2 linked regions of the Cricetulus griseus genome follow. The protein of the gene in region 1 interacts with the protein of each later gene in a pairwise test. Links are inferred from orthologs where the notes say so. Each region holds a gene or a part of one and is shown on either strand. Other genes may lie near its edges. The genes, in order: Tarbp2 and Znf346.

Region 1 (8,584 bases):
TGTCCAGAGGCTTTTCCCCTCCCTGTCACCCTCTCATCATAGGAAGAAGATGGGGGACCCTATCCATCACAGTATGCCCAGACTCCTGGGTCCCTCTTGCGTTTTCTGCTCCAGGCCATGAAGAGACCTGGCAGGAGCCCAGCCTTCCTCTTTCAGCCCCAGAGGTGAGGTTTAGCAGGCAGAGGCTGGGAAGGGCGGAGGGCGGAGGGCGGAGGAAGAGGTGAAGGAAGGTAAGACACAGGGAGCTTCAACTGAGGATGAATCTCTCCAAAGGTTTGGCAGAAGTGCCTGGGGGTCCTGGAGCAAAGAACAGCTAAGTCCCCAGGCTAGAGAGTTCTGGAGCCTGGCTGCCCCTCAGCGCTTTGGGAAGAAGTAACACAGCCTCATCCTCTGTAATGTCTGCATGTGTGTGCCATGTGTCCCCCTAAATAAAATGGTCTGGCTTGTGAATCTATGTGTTTGGACAAGACTTTCAGGGAATGGGTGGAGCCCAAGGGCAAGAAGCATAGCCCCCTTCACCCCCACTCAAACTCCCACCATTCTGCTGAATGGGTCCCCAGCTCACTGCACGTAGCCTTCTGCTTGCAGCAAAAACAACAGGGAATCAGTAAAATAAACAAATACACCATGTTTATTTCTCTGACAACCACATGACCCAGGGCCAGAGAAAGCAGGGTTTAGGAAGCCAAAGAGCAGCATTTATTCTGGACTCTGGTAGAATTCCAATTTCCTTTTCATTTGTCATCCATAGAATGGAAGCAGATCCTGTGCTGGCTAGGGCCCTATGGTTCATGTCTCCTTGCTTGCCTGTGCCTTCCTCAGTCTCAAGGCAGGCAGTCTGTGCCAGAGGTAGAGATGGCACCTCTGGAGGGCTCCAGAGCATGGTTGATGTATAGGCTCAGGCTCAGGAGGAGCAAAAAGTAAAAGGCGTACATCCATCACTGCAGCCAAGGTACTACTTGCTACCCGCCATGATCCTGAGGTACTGTAGGGCGCGGCGAGCAGCCTCACCTCTGGCTGCCTCCCTGGTAGTTGCAGAACCATGACACACAGTAGCTGGCTGGGTGGACAGTTCCACTAGGCACTGGCAGAGCCCACTCAAGCTCAGTTCTTCTAGAAACCAAGAAAGAAGAGGGAGGCAATGGGGGAGGGGCACCAAATAGGGTGTATGTCACCCATCTCCTAACCCCTTTATACTTGATCTGGTCCTGCCTCCTCCACCCCCAATCCCCCAGCTGGCCATACCAATGTCCAGGTAGCTGACATGGAAAGCCTGCTCCTCAGAGAGCTCACTGAGGACACTGCAGCAGGCAGAGCCCAGAGTCCCTAGAGAGCCCACAGAGCAGCTCCGAAGGGACAGGATCTTTTCTCCCACAGAATTGCGCAGGGAATCCCAGGTGCAGCCTGGCCCCCGGTTCCGAAGCCCATCCAGGCGGGAGCTCACCCCCTAGTGAGACGAGAGTGAGAAAGTGGTAAGGACTGTGGGGCCTAAGCCTCTGGCTCCCACACTCTAACCCTGCAACCTGCTTCAGTGGCCACTCAGGCTTCCTCACCCCAGTCAAAGTTGCCTACAGGGCTTTGCCCTGGGCAAACTTTCACCAGTAAGTACAGAACAGGTTGAGGCGACTGCTGGGCTCACAAGTTCAAGAAGCCCTGGGATTTGGTAAGAAGCAGGCCAGACTCACTTCCAAATCACAGACCCAACCAAGTCCCCACCATGTCCTGTAGTGTGAACCACATGGAAAGCCCACACAATCCACTTACAATGGAAAAATGATCGTCATCAGGTTCTGCCTCGTTGCCATCCCGGGCGTCCAGGGGTACTGTGTGCACTCGAAGCAGCATTTTAGCTGCTGCATTACGCTTTGCCAGTTTTTTGGAAGTGCCACTGCCTGAGTGTGGGGAAGGGATTGCTGGACTTGGGGATTTTTAACAGACCAATGCTTCCCCTCCAAGTTATTCTTAGATTAAAGGTCCCTCAATGGGGTATCACTGTAAAGAGGAGCTGAAGGCCTGTCCTTTTAACTGAGAAGCTGGTGGGCCAGAAAGAGGGGGAAAGATAGGCAGGGGCAAGGAAGACACAGGGAGTAAGAGCTGAGCAAAGCAAAGAAAGCTGGGATAGAACACAGCTAGACAAAGGAGCACCTTATGCTCAGGGTCAGAGTGTGGCAGAAACAGATGATAAGTAAGCCCCACTGTCCCGTTACCAATTTCAATGAAGCGCTCCACTCGGCAGGTCATGGTGAATTCTTTGCGGTGAGCAGGCCCAGACTCCTGGGTCACCATGTACTCTGGCAAACGCCAGCCTTTTTGCACCACAAGTTCCTTGAAAGGGAGACATAGGGAGCCCAAGGATGAGCGAGGAAAGGCTCCTTAGCCACATGGCCTTCTACCCAGGAGCCTCAGTCTTTGGGTGAGAAGGATAATCACCCCTCCCACAGCACACACACCCATGCCTCACAGCCCTAGTCCAGAGAAGACAGCACACGAGAACCAGAAGACGAGGCACACCTGTAGAGCACCAACAGGGTTGCACTCAGACTGCTGAGGAGAGACAGGGGGCTGCATCTCCATGGGAGGGCTCCTGAAGGAAAAAGAGCCCAGACCAATGCTGAGGAAAACGGGTTCTTCTGGGCTGGTCATGGGCTCGAGTACCAGCCACTACCACCATCTCCCAATTTTCCCACCCAGCAGGCAGCTATATCTGTCCAAATATCTCCCCCCATGAAGCTAGCCCCTGCTAGTTCCCAGGAGCATTTTGATGTGGAAATACTTCAGCAGTATCCCTATGACAGAGGTAAAGGGTCTGTACAGCTAATCCTGGAAGTACCTTCTGGGTCTTAAACACAGAACCTGCTGTAACCAACTCAGAAAATGGAGCCTATAAAATGTTTGAACAATCCAACATCCTTCACATGGCTATTTAAATATCATAAATTACCTATCTCAAGCTTACCAATGAGCTGGTACAAATTTTTTTCAATTCTTCCATTCTGTGTTTACTTAAAGACTTCCTCATCCTAACCTGCCTGGGTCCAAGTGCTATGAGGCTAGGGGCCTGCCTCCCTCCGAGATGTCAGGGAACTCAAGGTACCTGGTTAGTATAGCAGATGGAACAGGGGCAGCAACTTCAGCAGCAATGACAGGAGTGTCCTCGGGCAGTGAAGACTCTAGGAGAGAAAAAGAACTTCCCAAGGGGAAGGGAGCCTTGGATTCACACCCATGTAGAAGGGAATGAGAGTATGAGGTCTTTCTGACCTTTCCATCCCCTGAGAGAATCCCTTCCCCCTGATCTAGACTCAAGAGAGCCTCAGCAACAGCTCTTCCTCCTGGGATCCTCTGCTGACCCACACTGGCTCAAAAGCACTGAGGGTGGGGTAGGGGTAGGGCTCAGAAAACAGAATTTCTTCCTACCCAACAAGCTCCAACCTGAATGTAGAAGAGGGAAAGTCATGTGGCTAGAAAGGGGGCGTTTTGGGACCATCAGCCTTATCAGCCTTAGTCTCCACCCTCTATGGCTTACCCCGGGCCCAGAGTAGCCACCACCCATCAAAGGGGCTATTACCCTAGAAGCACCCTAGAGGAAATTCTCAGGAAGGGGCCAGGTCAGGGTGGCCATGAGTCACCAGGCCTGGATTAGGAAGAGAAGTAGGTGGTGAGGAGGCCTGGTTCTCAGCAGGGCTTCTAGTGTCCCTTGACTGTTCCTCCCTCACCTGCTGTCCTCCAGGGCTGGTTCCAGCATGCTCCCCCCTTTGAGGTGTTTGAGGGCCACCTCAGCTGCCTTGTGCTTGGCTGCCTTCTTGCTGGGGCCCTGACCTAAGAAAAGGGGTGTGGGCAATACTGGAGGTCACCAGCAGGACAGCAGAGAAACCAGCCCCCACAGCCTCTCTCCTTACAGCCAAGGGATTGAACAGCTCGCTTACCAACCTCCCCTGCCAGACTAGAAGGGCTCTGCTGACTGCTCAAATAGTCTTTGTCCTAGTTAGTTTTAACTGTCAACTTGGCACAACCTCGGATCATATGAAAGGAGAGCCTTTATTGAGGAATTGCCTAGCTCAGACTGGCCTTCGAACATGTCTGTGGGAGACTGTCTTGATTGTTAATTGAGGTAGAAATGCTCAACTATTGTGGTACCATCCCTTGCAAGGCAGGTGGCCCTGAATGTGGAAGCACTGGGCATCTGCCATTGTTCCGCTGTGCTTCTGTGGCTGTGAAGTAAGTGCCTTGGTCAGCTGTAATGCTGTGTGGAACAGCAAGCAGGCAGCAAGGATGAGTTTATTCTCTTTGCTCTCTGCTTTGTGGATACCTTCCCCACAATGATGACTGTAAACCAATCAAGCCTTTCCTCCCCTATGCTGCTTTAGTTAAGGTGTTTTATCACAATATAAATGGGCCTAGAGCAGCCCTTAGCTTTCAATTATCTCCCATAATTAAGTCATGTAAGGCAGGATTTGAGCTCCAACACTGGGGAGAGGGGAGGTGTCTTCCTTTTCTCTGCAAAAGCACTTTCTTTTCCCTCAACAAATAAGCAATAGAGACAACAAAGGATCAGTTCTAAAGTCAAAGCTCTACTCTGCCACTTATTAGGGCCAGTCATTTAATTTCTGATACTAAGCCCTCTATGGTCAATATGGGTCAAGAGGCCAGCAAAGTGTGTGTTTGCTCCCCCAAATACCCATGGGTAGTTCAGTGTCTCATCTACTTTTCATCTAAGGTGGTAAGAGCAGCAAATTCCTGTGACATTTCCTGTTCTCACCAGTGAGTCTCTCGGGTCCTATCCACCTTCAGGCAGTGGTTTTTCCCCTGAAACCTCTCCATCCCTCCCTGGCCTTAAAGGAGAGGACTGTGGTGAAGCGATCCCACGATATTAAGCCACGGGCCCTGTGAATGCACACCCCAGCCAGGCTGCCCAAGCCTTCCTCACCAGTGCAGCTGGTGTCGCCAACGGTGACCCGGAAGGTGAAATTAGGCTGATGGGCTTGGCCCTCGGCTTTGAGAAGGTCGTACACGGGCGTCTTTCCTATTCTGGTCCCATACTCCTGAAGAAGGCTGATCGGGGTCTTGCCCGGGTTGGCGGCCAGCATTTGCTCTATGCTGGGAGGGAGGGGCACACACCAATATCACACTTCCCCTTTCGGCACCCACCTGACCAAGCACTGTCACATTAGACCTAGCACATTACTGGGTCCATGGATCCCCAGGCAGTATAGCATCCATTGACTGGGCTAACAGTTAAGTTGCAGGAGGGAAAGCAAGGTCCTCTACCCCAAGGCAAGTGGAAACTGTACTGTTCTCAGTTAAGGCGAGGGAGCCTGTGCCGTAGTGCTGGTTGGACGTGCATTTCCCCCTGGCACAATGGAATTCGGGAACCCAGTACCCACCAAACGCACTGAACATCAGGGCATAAAGCGTAAGGCTCCAGTGCAGTCTGGGAATCAAGCCAACCCCAAACTAGAGCTGGAGGCGGTGGCCACTGACCCAGTGCATGCCGGGAACCTCTGCCCACTACCCCAGTGCTTGCTGGGAACAACCCTCAGGCCAGGTGCATGCTGGGGCTGCGCCGCTACCCTCCGCACCGCCTCACACTTTTCGTCCTGCAGGAATGGAAATTAGGCAGCTCACCTGGGCAGCCCGCAGCCTGTGGTAGTGCCGGAGCCCTGCTCCTCTTCACTCATTCCCTCCTCCGTCCCCGCGGGCGCCACCGTGACTACAGCCTCCACGCGCCCCAGTACACCGCCGACGAGCTAGGGCCGGGGCCAAGCCCGGAGTCGCGGCCGGTAGGGCCCGCCGCGGGGCATGCTGGGATCTGGAGTCCCCCTCCCATCCGACTCCTTGTGTCTTCATCAGGAGTCGAGCTACCCGCCCCACAACTCTCCGCGTGGCTCGCCCGGGCGCCTGCGCCGCCCTCTGGGAGGAGCGGATCCTCCACGGAAGCTTCTCAACCTACCAGTGGTTTTAGTTTTCTAATGTCGTCCCGCCTTCTTCCTTGCGCACTGCCTCCTCCCAGGCCGAGACTGTGAGCATGCGTACTAACGGGGTGGAGGCGGCTGGGGGCGGGGCGGTAAGGCATGCCACCCTCAGAGAACTACAGAGCCCAGGTGCCCGCGCGCCGTCCGGTCGCCGCCGCAGGCTTCGCGGCTTAATCGGCAATGCCGAGAGCGACTTCCCAAGGCGCTTTTCGATTGGTCATCTGGCCCAGAGGGCGGGGACGGGGAAAGGGATAGGCTTCCTGAGGAAGGGTTGTGATTGGCGGAGGAGGCTGCCGGCGTGTTTCTTTTGCTGCCCCAGAGGGTGGGCCTTACCTGGCCGCCCCCGCCCCAGAGCTCTGGGGTTGTTGTAAGTTTTTTTTCAGACACTGTCTCCCCAGGCACCAGTGTGAGTGCCAGGCCCCTCGGGCCTCGTGTCAAAAATCCTGCTGCTTTTGTGTGTGTGTGGTGTGTGTGTGTGTGTCTTGTCCTTCGCCTCTCTTCATTAACTGCACGCAGCCTGTAAGGGTTTGCTACTCCTTAAATAGGCCCTACTGAACCTTTCTTTAACTCTCCGGGAATCTAGGGCCCGAGAATCATTAGATGTACCTTCTGCGGTGTTTTGTAGCCTCAACTGAAAGAACACGAGAGTAATTAACGAACTAAATTACGCGCAGAGCTAAACAAGTACTTTTGGATCCCCAAAGTCTTGATACCACCAGAGTGCAGAATGTGGGGGAAATCTTGTGACCTTGGATAGAGGAAGAAAGAGACAGATACCACGAAAAACGTGATTCAAAGAGTGTTTTCAGAACGGGTCTAGGAAGAGATGTCTTGCTAAGAGGGGATGGGGGCTGGAGGTGGAGGAATCTTGGGGTGATAATCAGGGGTCATCCAGGAGCTCTGAAGTGGGAAAGGCCGCACGACTGGGTGAAACAGAAGCAGTGACAAGGGCAGGCAGACCAGCTGGCGACTTTGGTATGAGAAGGGACCAACGCCAGAGCGTTGTGTGTGCTATCTGAGGAGCTGCTCTCTCGGGGTGTAGGAAAGAGTCTGTAAGACAGGTCACCAGGGGTTCTTACAGAATCTGCATGAGGCCCAAAGTGGGACTGCCGAAGGACACCTCCAGGAAGGAGGCACAGAGCCTCGCGAGCCAGGAACAAGCCTGGAGCGCGCCGGATGGCAGCCGTGGGCTCCTTTAAGAGGCCGGCGGCTCCAGCGCAGCATCCCCCGCTCAGGGCGTGTCCGTCCCGGGGGGCCAGGGGCGGGGGCCTTGCAAGGAGCGGGAGTTCAAGTCGAGAGGGGACGGGGCTTAGAGTAGGGGGTGGGGGGCAAAAGCTGGGGCTGACACCCGTGCACCTGCGCTCCACACGAGCATCGCCGGTGACAGCGCCCCGGGTCTGGTGGAGGGCAACGGGGGGAGGAGGGAAAGAGGAGGAGGAGGCGGGAGCAGCATCCGGAGCCGAGCTGCTGCAGCGCCGCCTTTTGTGCTGCGGCCGCGGAGCCCCCGAGGTGAGAGCCTGGGCGAGTTGTGGGGGTGGGGGGCAGAAATGGGTTCGGGTCTTGGGATCCTGGTGTGGAGGGAGAGTCGGGATACAATTGTGGCATGGTGGGGGAGGAGGTGACTCGCGGATGCTGAGGCTGTGGGATGGAGGAACTGGGGACCTGGACCCGACGCCTGGAGATTGGAAGGAGCGGGGCGAAGCTGAGGGATGCGGCGGCCCAGCTTGGAGACCAAGAGCCTCCAGAGCTGTGGTGGATTACGTGAGGGTGAAGGTGGCCAGGGGAAGACTTAAAGGACAGCGGGCAAGAGCACGTCCTCTTTTCTCCTCACCCTCAAGACCCAGAGAAGGAGAAGGAAGAGTTGTGGCCCTCTCCAGGGAAGGAAAGGAAGGGCAAGGCCTAATGTTCCCACTGTCCCCCTCCCCCACACCTGCACCTATCATGCTCCACCTGGAAATTAGGCTGCACCCATTCCTGCATGCCCTGGCGAGGTTCCTCTCCCCTTCCATTTGTAATGCCGCTAATTTCCAGCTGTGCATTCTCTACCATCCAGCTGTTGCACCCTTCCCCCATTTGTATGTGGCTTTCTCTCTCTCTCCAGCCTGCTCTCCCTGGCTTCCCTAACCTATTTCCCAGGTCAGGTGTTTCAGAAAACCCCTCCCTTTTTTCACACACTCACCAAACTCCTTGGCTTACAACAACCTTGATAGCCGAGGGTGGGCTCCATAAGCAGTAGTAGGAACGGAGGGAGGAGCCTTGCAGCTCTCTATTTGCTGCCTCTTTGGCTTTCTACGGGGAGAGCATGCACATGAGGCCCCGGAGCCACAGTGGGTGCCTCACGCTAAACCTCCTCTCTCTTCCAATTCTCTGGGTTGCCTCCATGGTTCTGGGAGCTCTGGTTTCCAGCCAGAGGGTCATCCCAAGCTTACAATCGCAGCAAGGTTTTGGGAAGGAAGGAACCAACTGCTCCCTGGGCCTTGGGTCCAGAGATTGAAGTTTCCAAGTTCAAAAGCCCTTCCCCCTTTTGTGTAACATTTAAGGAGGTGAAGGTATCTGGGCCCCAAGTTAGCCCCAGCCAACTGTTGGCTTCCAGGAAGACCCCAAGGTCCATCACT
Region 2 (8,088 bases), on another chromosome or scaffold:
AAAATCTTTGTGTGTGTGTGTGTGTGTGTGTGTGTGTGTGTGTGTGTGTGTGTGTGTGTGTGTGTACAGGCTCATGAATGCCATAGTGTTTGTGTGGAGGTCTCTTCTTCCATGGTGGGATCAGGTGGGTTGTAAGGCCTGTGAGGAAAGGGCCTCTACCTGATGAGCAGTGACTCCATTGTGGGATTATGAAGTTTTTGTGTGGACGTCCGTTATTTCTCAGGGGTCTCTTCCTGGGAGTGAATTTGCTAGGCTACATGGCAACTCTGTGTCTTTAACATTTTGAGGAACTGTCAAATCTTTCCAGAATGACTTCTTCAATTTCTGTTTCTTTCTTTGAAGCATGAACTTTAGTTCTCTATGTCCTCCCCTTGTTTGTTGTTTTACTGTTTGTTTTTGCTTTTGAAACAGGGTCTCTTTATTATGTAGCTCTGGCTGCCCTGAAACCTTCTGTGTAGTTCAGGCTGGCCTCAATCTCACAGTGAGCCGCCTGCCTCTCTACCTCACGAGTGCTGGGATTAAGGCGTGTGCCCCCACACCAGTTGTTTTGAGTTGTAGTGGTTTCTGGTTTACTAAGTAGTGATGGCATGACCACTGTTTCACTTACTACTCATTTGTATGCTTTGATGAACTATCTAGGCACGTCATTGCTCATGTTATAACTTGGTTATTTGTTTTATTGCTGAATTATAAGCCATTTTATATTATGGGTGCAAATCCTGTATTTCAGATATGATGTCCACATATGTTTTCTTTGTGACTTGTCTTTATTTCTTGTTTTATTTTGTTAAGATTGTCTTCTTTTGGGGTGTTTCACTATGTTGTACTGGCTGACCTGGAACTCTCTGTGTAGATAGGGCTCCAGCCTCAGACCATAGAATGCTAGGATTAAAGGCATACACCACAGGTCTGGCTATCTTCTTTATTTTTTATGGCATTTATGTGCATGTGTGTGGGCACATGGGTGCCCTAGCACTCGTGGGGAGGTTAGAGGACAATTTGTAGTAGTCAGTTTTTCCTCTACCATGTGATCCCAGGGATGGGACTCGGGAGTTCAGATCAGCCTTGGCAGCAAGCGCCTTAACCCACTGAGCCATCTCACCAGCTCTTGTGTTTATTTTATAAACAGTGCCTTTTGAAGCATAATTAGCTTCTACCATATGAAGGAACATGTGGAGCTTGTTTTTCTTTGCCTGTCTTTTCTAACTTAAAACAATGCCCTGCAGTTCTATTCATTTTTCTGCAAATGACAGATTTCATTGTCCTTTGTGACTGTATAATGTTCTGTTGGGTGTATGTAGCATGTCTTCTATGTTCTTTTCATTTTGTTTTATTTGTGAATGTGCACTGTGTGTGGAACTGGCATAGCTATGTGTGGCAGTTAGACGACAACTTGCAGGAGCTCTCTCCTCTCCTTAAGATTGATTAATGGATTGTGTATGTGGTGTTCTGTCGGCATGTACCCCTGCACACCAGCAGAGGGCAGAAGATTTCATTAGAGATGGTGTGAGCCACCATGTGGTTGCTGGGAATTGAACTCAGTACCTCAGAAAGACCAGCCTGTGCTCTTAACCCTTGAGCCCCTGAGTTCTCCTTTTGTCAAGTGGGTTCCAGGAATAAAGTCAGGTAGTCCTGTTTGGCAGTAAGTACCTTTACTTCCTGGGCCATTTCATTAGCCCTACATTTTTTTAAAGATTTATTTATTTATGTATTTATGTATATGGGCACTTTATCTGCATGTACATCTGCACACCAGAAGAGGGCATCAGGCAGCTGTGAGCCACCATGTGGTTGCTGGGAACTGAACTCAGGACCTTTGGAAGAGCAGCCAGTGCTCTTAACCACTGAGCCATCTCTCCACCCCCCAGTCCTACATTTTCTATAATCATTTATTTAGCTAACTTCATAGCTTAGCTATGGCAAATTATGCCACCTTACATATGAATTCTCCAGTATTTGGGCAAGCTATTTTATTTAATTTTTTAAGGGACTCGTTCTTTGTTTCAATAGACTCTTGTCAATATTTTGTATCAAAATAGTTGCACTTGGAGCTGGAGAGATGGCTCAGTAGTTAAGTACTGTCTTGCTCTTCCAGAGGACTTGATTTTGGTTACCAGCACCCATACCATGTGGCTCTCAACTGCTGAGGTACCTGGGTCACACTCATGTTCTCACAGACAGACACACAAACACCACAATTAAAAATAGATCAAAGAAAAAAAAACAGAAGACAAGTGCACTATGATGTTCTCTTTCTCCAAAGAGAGAAAAATTCACCCACTGCCAAAGCTTTCACAGACTCCCGGGAGCAGCTCTGAAAGGTCCACACACTGCCAGCCATGGCCATAGGAGGCTGGCCAGAGAAAGTCCCCCAAAACAACGGTATAAAATAACGTAAACATTCTTAAGTTTTACATATGAGCCGTGAATGGTTTCTCAGCAGTGGTTGACCCGAAGTGCAGTGGATGACACTGGTAGAGAAAGCAGCTGCAGAGGGTGATGAGTTCACACAGCCAATGATGACTTGGTGGCGAAGACTCGTTCCTGTGTGTGTGTGTGTGTGTGTGTGTGTGTGTGTGTGTGTGTGCGTGCGCGCAAGCGCGCTCGCATGCACTCGTGTGTGTTCATACAGCCGACGACTCAGTGGCAAAAGCTCTTTCCTCTGTGTGTGTCCATCTGTCTGCCTCGCCCCCCCCCCCCCCGTCTGTCTGCCTCAGAAGGAGAGTACTGAGTGGTCACCTTAGCATTAAGAGGCACACGATCCATTTTGTGAGCAGGGGGAAAAGGGGGTAGAGACAAGTTTTGTCTCAGAGCTGGGGCTGGATGGTAGAAAGCTTACCTAACACTTCAGGTCCCTATGCATTGGGAAGTAGGGATGTCAACAAGTCTAACCATCTTGATTTGGTCACGTCTGATTTAAAAAGTTAAAAGTAGGGACTGGAGAGATGGCTCAGAGGTTAAGAGCATTGGCTGCTCTTCCAGAGGTCCTGAGTTCAATTCCCAGCAACCACATGGTGGCTCACAACCATCTGTGATGACATCTGGCTCCCTCTTCTGGCCTGTAGGCATACATGCAGGCAGAACAATGTATACAAAATAAATAAATAAATCTTCTTTTAAAAAAAAAAAAAGTTAAAAGTAAAGGTGAAGTTGTTCAAAGACACCTAAAACTGAAAACCTCCACATCTGGGTACTGGTTTTTGGTTGGGCCAGCTTCTTAGAAACCCTTTCTGTTCAGCTAGGACTTCATACAGAGCATCAGGGTTTCCTGTATCGGGATCCTTTCCTGGACTCTCAGGAATGCAGGCCCATGCTTGTGTTCTTCCTCTATGGAGGCCAGTACACACTAGGCCGAAAGGTTACCTTCCAGCAGTGAGAAGCAATTGGATTGCTGCTTTCACACTGTGCAGTTACTTGGAATGGCTGCTACTATCGGGTGTGGTGCCCTGTGCCTTTAATCCAACACTCAGAGGCAGAAGCAGGCTTGGCTCTGTGAGTCTAGGCCAACCTGATGTGTACATAGCAAGTTCCAGGGCACTTTAAAGCACTGGCTGCTCTGGCAAAGTATCCAGGTTTGATTTCGGGAATCCACTTGGCAATCCACAACTGCCTCTAACTCCATTTCCCTGGGACCCAATGCCCTTTTCTGGCCTCCATGGCTCAGACATGCATGAAAGCAAAATACCCATACACATGAAATAAAGTAATTTTTTAAACTCAATTATAGAATTATCTAATAAGGGAAGCACATCCATGTCTTGGGTGTGTTTTTTAGTTAGGGATTCCATTACTGTGAAGAGACACCATTACCACAGCCAACTATTATAAAGGAAAAATATTTAATTGGGTTGGCTGACGTCTTCAGAGGTTCAGTCCATTACCATCATGGTACAGCGTGGCAGCGTGCAAACAGACAGACACGGTGCTGGTTCCATCTTGATCAGAAGGCAACAGGAAGTGGACTGCCTTCACTGGGTGTGGCTTGAGCATTAGTGAGACCCTGAAGCCTGCCTCCACAGTGACATACTTCCTCCAACAAGGCCACACCTCTTAATAGTGCCATTCCCTCTGGGGGCCATTTCCTTTGAAGCCACCATAGTGTGTATTGTCCTTTTCCTAAATGGCTCTCTCTCCTTCGGTCTACATTAAAACTGCTATTAATGTTATTGGAGACAGGAGCTCACTATATAGCCCTGCACAGCCTGGTGTGTAAGCCCCACACTCACTCTGGAGACCAGGCTGGCCTTGTGCTCAGAGATTCACCTGCCTCTGCCACTTGAGTGTTGTTATTAAAGGTGTGCATCTCTTCATGCTCCTTTAAAACTGCTTCATAAGAAGTCCTCAGCTCCACATTGTTTTAAAGGGTTAACGTGAATGGGGGTGTGACCCTGTAGTCACACCTACTAAGGCAGAAGGATCCCTTGAGCCAGGAATTCTTGCGAAGCGTGGGGCATCTCTCCTAACAGCCATGTGAGACTAGGTAAAGAACACTGGCCTATATGAAGGAAGTCACAATGCAGTTGGTTTGCAAGCACAGCATGAGTCATGGCTTGGTGCGAGGAAGAGCGGAGATGTGCCTGTGTGCTGGTCTGGGCTCCATCATTGGTGCCTGTGTTTGGGAGAGACCAGAGGCAGTGCTGTTGGACTCACCTGCATGATCTCTTTCCCTCCACAGTGGAGTACATGATCCAGAAGAACCAGTGTCTCTTCACCAGCACCCAGTGCAAAGTCTGCTGCGCCATGCTGATCTCTGAGTCCCAGAAGCTGGCACACTACCAGGTAGGCCTCTATCATAGCCATGCTTGCCTTGCCGTCCAGTGCCAGCCCTCTCCTCTCCTGCCTCACACAGTCTTCCATAGCGACCACATGTTTCCTTCATGCATGTTTGCTTGGGACGTGAAGTGAACTTAATTTCTGTGAGTCTCATCTCTCCCGACCAAATCAGGATCAAATGTGGAAAGAATGACTTTTGGCTTTACGTACATCTGAGTTTGAAGCCAACTCTGTTATGCTATCTTATAAGCAGGAAGTTTCACCATGATTGGCCTGAGCTTTTCCATGTGTACAATAGACAACAGTATTCTCATAGATTTTCGAAGGTTAAATGTGATAGCCTGTAGAGGGGCCTACTACATAATAGGAACTCAGCAAATGAGTTTTCTTCCCCCATTTCTTCAGAATCTGGTGTGTCATGGCTGCCCTCTCTGTGAAATGGATGGTGAGAATCTGGTGTGTCATGGCTGCCCTCTCTGTGAAATGGATGGTGAGAATCTGGTATGTCACGGCTGCCCTCTCTGTGAAATGGATGGTGAGAATCTGGTGTGTCACGGCTGCCCTCTCTGTGAAATGGGTGGTGAGAATCTGGTATGTCACGGCTGCCCTCTCTGTGAAATGGATGGTGAGAATCTGGTGTGTCACGGCTGCCCTCTCTGTGAAATGGGTGGTGAGAATCTGGTGTATTATGGCTGCCCTCTCTGTGAAATGGGTGGTGAGAATCTGGTGTGTCACGGCTGCCCTCTCTGTGAAATGGATGGTGAGAATCTGGTATGTCACGGCTGCCCTCTCTGTGAAATGGACAGTGAGAATTTGGTGTGTCATGGCTGCCCTCTCTGTGAAATGGACGGTGAGAATCTGGTGTGTCATGGCTGCCCTCTCTGTGAAATGATTGGCCTTTGACTATCTTTGATCTTTCTCTTGGGTTCTTGCAGAGCAAAAAACATGCCAACAAAGTGAAGAGATACCTAGCAATCCATGGAATGGAGACACTAAAAGGGGAGGTGAAGAGACTCGACTCAGATCAGGTAATGTAGCTGCATTGTTGAGCCTGCTTGCATCCCAAGCAGATTGGTTTGTTGTGAGCACAGGCTTTGATTCTGACTGCCTTGGCTGCCAGTCTCAGCCCTGTTGTCTAACTTGGGCAAGTCTATGACTCCGAGCCTTGATTTCTTCCTCTGTTAAAAACAGGAATACTCTGAACATGGTGGTGTGTACATGTGATGTGACCAAGCACTTGAAGGTAGAGGCAGGAAGATGATTAGTTGAAGGTTGTCTTCCGCTGCATAGCAAGTTTGAGGCCAACCTGAGCTACAATGAGAGAATGTCTCAAAACAAACAAAAAAGACCATTATAGCTACCTTGGGGGGGGGGTTGTAAGTTGAGAAAATATTTATAAAACAGCACCAGACCCTGAATCTGTCATACAGTAGTGGTTCAGTAAATAGAATCATTCATTGTTCTGCTTTGCCACCCAGAGGGTTATTGAAGCAGAGCAAGAGAGGACATAGAGAGATGCCCCGGCGCTCATTTTCTTTAGCTGTGGGGAAAACAGACTCTCAGCATTTGGCCTGAACAATCAAGGAAAATAAATACCTCCTCTGATTAGAAAGCAATTACGTTTACTTTTTATCTCAGAATTACTATAAGAATTACGCTGGAACAAGCTGTAATTCCTTGAGTGTACTGTGACTTTCAAAGTCACTTAACCTCTCTGAGATTCACTCATAAAGATGATCTTGCCTCTTTAGTATTAGGAAGTAAAGTTTTAGTCCCCAGGAAACGCTCTATAAGTAGGAGGTTACTCTCCAGACTGCATTTCTGCTACAGTGGCCAGGGGTTTAAAGGGACCTCGCTTCCCCTCGAGAAATCACTTCCAAGTGGCCCTGGTGGCTTGGACCCAAAAAGGAAAGACCATTTCTCCTCTTTGCACTTCAGTTTTTCAGATGACTGAGTGACTCAGATGAGACCACAGCACCCACCACCAGCTAGGAATTACTAGACTCAAAATGTCTGCAGTTCAAAGGTTGAGAAATGTTGAAGAAACAGCTTATTCAGAGGACAGGCTTTTCGGGAAGATTAAAATACACTTTCTAGCATAACCATAGTAACAAATGGAACCTGATAACAAACTTGTGCTAAAACCCCTGGGTTTGTACTGTGTGCTCGGCACAATAGAGTACAGGATAGTTGGCAAAAATAAGTCAAGTTGTCCACACCCAGCACTGCACTTGAGCTTGCATAAAAGTCTCCTAAGCTGTTCCACTGTCCGTTCAGAGTGACAGAGGGTGTAATAGAAATCTGATAGACTTTGGGAATTCAGCTGGGGATCGAGGTTGATTCTTCCTGCATATACATAGGAGGGGGCTTGGTGCGTGTTCAGTTGGTTTTTGGGTTTTTTTTTTTTTTTTTTTTTTTTTTTTTTAGTGAAAGTCATTGAAGGCTGATAGTAGACCTAATGCCAGGCAGGAAGGTGGAGGAACATTCTAGCCAGTAGGGATAAACCAAGCAAAGCAAGGAAGGAACAGAATAAAATGGGAAGTCGTGCTAGAACCTGACAGGGAGCAGCTGGGGAAGACTGTTGAGGTGTGTTGGGTCTTAAATGTCCACCAGGCCACGGGCAGGGGAAACGTTGGAGGTTTTCTGGATGCGCAGTGGCGTGATCAGACCTGTGTTCTCTCTCCCAACCAGAAGAGCAGCAGAAGCAAAGACAAGAACCACTGCTGCCCCATCTGTAACATGACCTTTTCCTCCCCTGTTGTGGCTCAGTCGCACTACCTGGGGAAGACCCACGCAAAGAACTTAAGGCTGAAGCAGCAGTCCACTAAGGGGGCAGGTACTGGTTTCCTGAGTAGTGCTCTTGGGACCCCTCTCATCCTCGGGGCACCAATGGCAGGCAGTGCTTCAGAATGCTCACTGAGGCCTCAGACTTGGAGAGGTTGCTTTTAAGAGCCCTGAAAAATCCACAAAAGAGTTGGGATGTAACTCATTTGGTAGAATACCTATGAGTTCTAATGTTCCTAATGTTCACAAAGGTTTGGCTTTCATCCCCAGCCTCACATAAGCCAGATGTGGTGCACACCTGTAATCTCAGCACTCAGGAGGTGGAGGCAGGAAAATTAGAAGTTCAAGGTCATCCTCAGCTACATAGGGAGTTTGAGGCCAACCTTTGCTAGACCCTGCTTCACTGTAATTCGGCCTTAGACTTGGGTTCACTTTACTTCCATTTGTGTTGTTCTCGAAGATTTTCTGTAGAAGCTTCTTAGCCCCAGCTTTTGTCCTGACCAGTAATTGTAAATCAGGAGTGCCAAAGGC

Evidence for each region.
Region 2: the proteins of Tarbp2 (region 1) and Znf346 interact in binary tests that used the Homo sapiens proteins (3 or more experiments, as listed by UniProt). The two-hybrid records come from large-scale screens. The link is inferred for Cricetulus griseus from reciprocal best matches to the Homo sapiens genes TARBP2 and ZNF346.

What each region holds. Positions count from the first base shown.
Region 1 is NC_048595.1:398,893,519-398,902,102, reverse strand, and holds Tarbp2 (RISC-loading complex subunit TARBP2), read right to left. Parts: upstream 5,817-8,584; 5' UTR 5,676-5,816; coding exon 5,623-5,675; intron 5,513-5,622; exon of another isoform or gene 5,382-5,512; intron 5,095-5,381; coding exon 4,925-5,094; intron 3,817-4,924; coding exon 3,714-3,816; intron 3,188-3,713; coding exon 3,095-3,187; intron 2,585-3,094; coding exon 2,512-2,584; intron 2,326-2,511; coding exon 2,208-2,325; intron 1,893-2,207; coding exon 1,765-1,892; intron 1,448-1,764; coding exon 1,246-1,447; intron 1,114-1,245; coding exon 956-1,113; 3' UTR 609-955; downstream 1-608. Other genes in the region: Npff (pro-FMRFamide-related neuropeptide FF), read left to right, coding at 43-164, 274-376. UniProt on the Homo sapiens protein: Required for formation of the RNA induced silencing complex (RISC). Component of the RISC loading complex (RLC), also known as the micro-RNA (miRNA) loading complex (miRLC), which is composed of DICER1, AGO2 and TARBP2.
Region 2 is NC_048596.1:274,112,168-274,120,255, forward strand, and holds part of Znf346 (zinc finger protein 346), read left to right. Parts: intron 1-4,675; coding exon 4,676-4,779; intron 4,780-5,708; coding exon 5,709-5,801; intron 5,802-7,464; coding exon 7,465-7,609; intron 7,610-8,088.